Linked DNA regions of Kluyveromyces lactis. The protein of the gene in region 1 purifies or fractionates together with the protein of each later gene. This does not show direct contact. Links are inferred from orthologs where the notes say so. Each region holds a gene or a part of one and is shown on either strand. Other genes may lie near its edges. The genes, in order: ILV2 and SIS1.

Region 1 (4,099 bases):
GGTGAATAGTCTAAGGTGTAGTTGTTGATGTCGCTCAAATCAACTTTTCCATTTTTTAAAGCTTTCCCAGTTGGACAATATGGGAAACAGGCCCCTATATTACACAGTAAAAGGGGAAGAAGAAACAGGCTAACGAGGCAATTGTGCCGCATATGAGCCTTGTTCGGCCGAATTTGATGTGTGAATAATCAGTAGTTGATCAATAGTGTACAGCAATTAGATAAAATAAAATATACAAGATACAGGAATAGTATATATTCATACATACATATTTGCATGTATATATATATGACAGGATCGGAAGCAGATTATTGGAAGGAGAAAATTGTCTCATAGTGGTAGGATTAAAACCTGGTTCAAGCTGCAACACACAAATACATGATATAGTGGGTCATATCTTGTTTATATTTTTTTTCAATAGAGAAGGTTTGGTGGAGAATTGTCTTTTAAATAATAATGTGAGTGTTTCAATGTTTCCAATGAATATGCTTGATTTGGACGGAAGAATAGTTTGAACAGAGTAGCACTCTTGTTCTAAAGATCTCCGCCAAATTTTTTTTGGTGATTTGTTAGGTTTTCGTTATCATTTCAATATTTACCACTAGTACGTTTGTGACGTAGTTCGTTTTGTTCCTTTTCTACTTCTGGATCAAAGTTGATGAATTCGTGTAGACCCTTACCGGTTGGGACCATTGGCAAGACAGGAACCTTCTTTTCGATTTGCACTTCCAATAAGATTGGGCCCTCGTAGTCAACGAATTCTTTCAAGATGGCGTCAGTGTCCTCTTGTTTCGAGAGTCTGAGAGCCTTCAGACCCATAGCTTCGGCCAATTTAACGAAATCTGGATTCAGTTGATGGGTATGCGAGTAACGGTGTTCGTAGAAGAGAGATTGCCATTGGGTAACCATACCTTGTTCCTCGTTATTTAGCAACAAGACCTTGACTGGTGTACGAGCTTGAACAGCGGAGGACAATTCCATCAGAGTCATGTTGAAAGAGGCATCACCGTCGATATCGATGACGATAGCGTCAGGTCTGGCGACTTGAGCACCGATAGCAGCTGGTAGACCGTAACCCATGGTACCAAGACCACCGGAAGTGATGAAAGATCTTGGACTTTTCCAAGTCCAGTGTTGAGCAGCCCACATTTGATGTTGACCGACACCAGTGGTGACGATGGCTGGTCTACCGGATTTCAAGACCAAATCGGACAACTTGGAGATAACGGTTTGAGGTTTAATCTTAGAACCTGGAGTCTCCTTTTGGTACGCGTATGGGTATTCTTGTTTCCATTTAGCCACTTGAGCGGACCATTCTGGTCTTTCAGGAACAGATTCGACCAATGGCAACAATTTTTCCAAGTTACGAGTCACATCACCTTCGACAGCGACCTCGGCTTCGACAACCTTGTTGATATTCTTTGGGGAGATTTCGAAATGAACGATACCACCACGTTTCTCTAGAGCAGCCTTTCTAGCCTCTGGAGCAAATTTGGAAATATTCAGAGTGACACGATCGTCAAATCTGGCACCCAATGCAATGATCAAATCGGCGTTTTGGATGGCCAAGTTGGCTGCAGCATTACCGTGCATACCGACCATATCCAAAGATTTATGATCTTCTTGGTTGAACGCACCAAGACCTTGTAGAGTCGTGGTGACTGGGATCTGAGCTCTGTCACTTAGTTGCTTCAAGTATTGAGGACCCATTTCGCTGCCTAGAATACCAGCACCCACGTATAGCAAAGGCTTCTTAGCCCTGTTGATCAAGTCAGCAGCCCTGCTAATGTTTTCCAAAGTGAACTCATCGACGACTCTTTGAGTCAACTGATTTAGAGTATCAGATGGTAGAATAGACTTCATTGGAATTGGGTTTCTTAGCACCGCCGCCGTCACGTCCTTTGGTAAATCCACCAAAACGGGGCCCGGTCTACCGGAAGTTGCGATTTCAAACGCTTCGTTGATTCTACGAGGCAGTTCCTCAATGGTTTTCACCATCACGTTCCATTTGGTACAAGATCTAGAGATACCAACCACATCTGCTTCTTGGAAAGCATCTGTTCCGATAGCTGACGTGGCCACTTGACCTGTAAACACCACCAACGGCACACCGTCTGCCAATGCATCTGCCATAGGAGTCACCACATTAGTCGCACCTGGACCTGAAGTCACCAAAACAACACCTGGTTTCCCTGAGGCTCTTGCGTATCCCTCTGCCATGTGACCTGCACCTTGTTCATGTTTTGGTAGAACAAAAGTGAATTTATCTGAGTTGTAGATTGCGTCGTACACGGGCAAAATCGCACCACCAGGGTATCCAAAAACGGTGTCGACGTTGTGACGTTGCATCATCTCGTGGAAGATCTCACCACCGGTCATTCCAATGAACGAATCATCCATCTGGTTTTGAATGTTGACACCAGTATTCTTGTCTGCGATTCTCGATCTCTTCGACAATGGGATCTGGTTTCTTCTGGCACCGCCAGAAGAACCACCAGCTATATCAGCGTTAAAGCTAGGAGCAGGCTGTGGCCTGCTACTAGCCTCACCGGCAGCAGCAGAAGCAGCGTTACTTGCACTTGCACTTGCACTTCCTAATTTCAAGCATGTCTTACCAAAAGCACGTCTGGCCAAAGCCCGCGTTACAAACCTCTGACTGAGCATCTTTTGATTTGGGGATATGAAACTTGATATCTTAAGTGGAATAGAACAACAGCAAGGTCTAAACTATAGTAGAATCTCCAATCAATAAGAGGTACCGTTGCTTATATATGTTCATATATATATATATATATATATTCACTTTGTATAAGTGGTAATGGGAAGAAATCGGTGCAGGCGATGAGCTGGAAAGTTTGAAAATTTTCCAAAAGCACTGAGAGAACGAAAAGAAAAAGAAGGTTGAGTCATCCAAGAAGCAATAGAGAAGAGGTAAGAAGTAAGAGGAGCGAAGAGAAGAGAAGAAAAGAGGGTTAGAATGAGGCAGCGGTGCAGATGGTGAAGTGGGTGGTATTGTTTTCTGGTAATTGTGACTGATATTGGTCGATGACAGGATGTAGTGTTGAAAAGTGTATGGTATTTTGTGTATAGTATGTTTGTATTATAGGCATATAGATCGAATTTTTCACGGTGAAAAAACGGGCCGGTCGAGGCGGTGAGAGTTGAGTGAGTGCTGGAGGAAAGGAAGTGGAATAGAGTTGTGAGTGGTGCTGGGAGAGGCAAGGGACCGGTAAGAGGACCGGATGCCAGGGCCCTCGGCCCTGGCATTCAATTCGACTGAGGTGGGAAGGGGGGGGGGGGGGGGGATTGGTCACGTGACATGAAGGGACAAAAAGCCCATTTGTATGTGTTACCCGGCTTGGTCGGGTAACACACTTCCCCGCACGAAAACTCTTTTTCTTTTTGTGGTCACGTGGTGTTAACTGTATATGCCACATGTACATACATCTACATATGTATATATACAGATGTGCCAACCTATGTCCACTCAGACCTTGGCTTCTGTCTCGGCTGGCTTGCACAACACAAACACCACACCACCGGTTTGCAATTGCAAAATCTCTGGATGTTTCAATACTCTTAACGCAGACTGGATCACTCCTGAGTGACACGTCAAGGAAATGTACCTTTCCTCACCACTCAACAATTCTTGCAAAGCACCACCGATTCTATAGTCTATCTCCTCAACCGTCTCCCGATGGGTCTCGCTCCACATGGTATCCTCATTTGCCATCCCTGGCTCGTAAACCCAGTGGACCTTGGTGTTACCAAGCAATGTCTCTTCCCCGTATTGTTCCACCACATGGTCATGTGGTAACCTCTTGTCACAGTAATGTCTACCAAGTGTCTCTCGACACTGTTCCTTGACGTAGACAGACACTTCGGTGCTACTACTGACAAGTTCACTGGTGAAGACCTGGCCCCACGATTCCATATACGTCTCGAGACACCGTCTCAAGGGAGAACTGTAAAACTTCTCTGGAAACCCGATCTTCTCAACCATAGGTAGCAACAACTCTTTACCTGTACTTCTAACTTGCTGTTTCCCCAGCTCGGTCAACTGAGCGTCCACGAGCGTAACCTCATGGACCCCCGGTTG
Region 2 (3,051 bases), on another chromosome or scaffold:
AAATGTATGAGGTAGATAGAAGATTTGATAATAATACTTGGAGTTTTTTTTTTTTTGGCAGACATCAATTGTTCGGAACCAAATAGAAGTCGGGAAACTTGCAGATTGGTATGTCTTTTATTTGCATGATGTCATTTGCTCAATAAAAAGGTAAATGAAGGTTAAAATCTATGCAAATGGTTACATTGTGAACAGAAGTCGAGGTGTCACAATGAAACGTCCCGTTTCTTACTTTACCAGTATTAACAATCATTGAATAATTCTCCTTGTATTCTCTCGCATATTATATTGCGTCCTCAACTTATGTTGCGTGCTTCATTTACCGAAGGATATTTTTTTGAAAATAGTGTACAGTGTGGTCAGAAAGTTAACGCATTAATCGACAGACAATGTAGCCATACGATAAGATTGCTTCTGCTGAAGTGAATGTGAATGGAACATTTGAATTGGAAATAATTAATGGGAGTAAACATTTAAAGAAATGAAAACATATGACATAGAACCATAATGGTGGGAAGATAATATTTCTGGCAGACGTTGAATTGTAAACATGATCACCGTCAGAAGTCTAAATTTGCAATCGTCATGTCATACTTTTATGATTTATTTTCGTTATAAAGACATTCTTCATCTTTCATTCAGAAGTTATCCATAATGGCTTGTCTTTGTTGAGGTGTTAAAGAGGTTGGATAATCGATCTTGAACTTAATAATCAAATCACCTCTTTGGGAAGGATTCTTTGACAGTGTCATACCTTGTCCGGGATATGTTGAGGTTTGAGTAGGTTGAATTGGCTGCGTTCTTGTGATTGGAATTGTTTTACCGTCGATGGTTTGTACTTGCTTGGAGAAACCTAGAAGAGATTCTTTGAAAGAAAGTGGTAAAGTGTAAATCAAATCATTGTCTTGTCTGGTGAAAAATTCGTGTGGTTTTTCCTGTAGAACGAATTGTAATGTTTGTCTACCACCAGTTCTTGGATTATAGTCACCTTCACCTTTGAAAGTAATCTTGGTACCTGCTTTCCAACCTGGTTTCAATTGGATGTCAATTTGGTTCTTTTCGGACACACCACCGGCGCCTTTTCTTGTGATCTTGAATGATTTCTTCTTACCGCTGAATAAATCTTCTAAGGACACAGGTAGATTGACCTGAACAACTTCTTCTTCAGGTCTAGCCTGTTGTCTACTGAATCCACCTGGCATTCCACCTGGCATTCCACCTGGCATACCGCCTGGCATGCCGCCCGAAGAGGAATGGAAACTACTGCCTCCAAACCCGAAATCATCACCAGACCCGCCGCTAGCAGAGAATCCAAATGGAGAAGCACCTCCGGCAGCACCTCCTCCACCAAAGAACTGTGAAAAGATGTTGAAAGCGTCATCTTGTGAGAACGCATGTCCCCCGGCAAACCCACCAGAAGAAAATCCTCCAGGCCCACCAGGCCCACCAGGCCCTCCCGCTCCTCCAAATTGAGGAGCATTACCACGAGCAGCCTCTAGACCATAAGTATCGTAAACTTCCCTCTTCTGAGCATCTGAAAGAATCTCAAAAGCCTCAGAGATTTCTTTAAACTTCTCAGTGTCACCTGTAGGCTTATCTGGATGATACTTCAAGGCAGCCTTTCTGTACCCTTTTTTAATCTCGGCTTCACCTGCACTAGGCGAAATTCCTAGCAAATCATATAATTTAGTGTCCTTAACCATACTCCTACGACGTTTCAAATTTGGTAATTGTCCTTTTGTATATATGTCGAATGATAGTTCAAATTAGCTCTATCTAAACTAGAAGAATTAGAGTAAACTAAAAGAATCAGTTAATGTTTACACTGTTTCGAGATACCAATGGGACAAAAGATGCAATAAAACTCTTCTCTAAACATGTCGATCGAATACCAACGACCAATAATCTTTGAACGAAAAACATCCTGTTCTTTGAAAACCTTTATATAACATTTCATTCCTATATATTCAGGTTCAGTTCTGTTGCAACCGATCATGTTCTTTCAGAGTATACCCTGGAACCTTCTAGAAGTAAAAAAACATGAATGCTTTAAGCACGCGAGATTCATGTGACAATCACGTGATATAGAAGTTTCCCACCAATACAAATCTGTCATCACAAAGCCGCAAATCAGGTGTCATTCAATGACATTAGCCACTACACAATCTTGTGGCTATCTCTATGCCTCCACTTTTGTTTCAATTGCTGTTGTTTATATCTCAATCATGAATATTGACAAATTATGGTTTAATGTGATAAAGAATATGCAATATACTAGATGAAAGAAAGTCTTAAGGAATCTGAGGAGTTTTCAAGGCTTTTTCTCCCCTGTGAACAAGGTAGAGGTTTCTTATTGTGTACGGTCAGACTAACTTCAATATTGCCATGTCTGTTATTCTAGCGAGTGCTGGATACGACCACACAATTAGGTTCTGGGAAGCTTTGACTGGAGTCTGTTCACGAACCATTCAACATGCAGATTCCCAAGTGAATCGATTAGAGATTACGTCCGATAAGAAATATTTGGCTGCTGCTGGTCATTTACACGTCCGTCTTTATGATATACGGTCGAATAATCCAAATCCGGTGTCCTCTTTCGAAGGCCATAAAGGGAACGTAACGTCGATTGCATTTCAACAGGAAAATCGATGGATGGTATCGTCTAGTGAAGATGGGACTATTAAGGTTTGGGATGTACGGTCCCCATCTGTGCAAAGGAATTACAAGCATAATGCACCTGTCAATGAAGTAGCGATACATCCGAACCAAGGGGAATTGATTTCCTGCGATCAGGATGGGAATATCAGGATTTGGGATCTTGGTGAAAACCAGTGCACAAACCAGCTGACACCAGAAGATAACACGCCATTACAGTCGTTGTCCGTTGCAAGCGACGGATCGATGCTTGTTGCAGGAAATAACAAAGGGAACTGTTATGTATGGAAGATGCCTCATCACACGGATGCTTCCACTTTGGAGCCCGTAACTAAATTCAAATCGCATACTAAATATATTACCAGGGTCCTACTATCGGCGGATGTAAAACATTTA

What was found.
Region 2: the proteins of ILV2 (region 1) and SIS1 purify together in Saccharomyces cerevisiae (affinity purification with mass spectrometry; 3 studies listed by BioGRID, with this or other methods). This does not show direct contact. The link is inferred for Kluyveromyces lactis from reciprocal best matches to the Saccharomyces cerevisiae genes ILV2 and SIS1.

Annotation. Positions count from the first base shown.
Region 1 is NC_006038.1:1,099,901-1,103,999, forward strand, and holds ILV2 (acetolactate synthase catalytic subunit), read right to left. Parts: upstream 2,665-4,099; coding exon 589-2,664; downstream 1-588. Other genes in the region: KLLA0_B12606g (uncharacterized protein), read right to left, coding at 2,800-3,267; PMU1 (putative phosphomutase), read right to left, coding at 3,488-4,099. UniProt on the Saccharomyces cerevisiae protein: Catalytic subunit of mitochondrial acetolactate synthase, which catalyzes the first of a series of common steps in the biosynthesis of the branched-chain amino acids.
Region 2 is NC_006040.1:410,977-414,027, forward strand, and holds SIS1 (type II HSP40 co-chaperone SIS1), read right to left. Parts: upstream 1,704-3,051; coding exon 639-1,703; downstream 1-638. Other genes in the region: TOR complex subunit LST8, read left to right, coding at 2,386-3,051. UniProt on the Saccharomyces cerevisiae protein: Required for nuclear migration during mitosis. It is required for the normal initiation of translation. Might mediate the dissociation of a specific protein complex of the translation machinery. Essential for viability.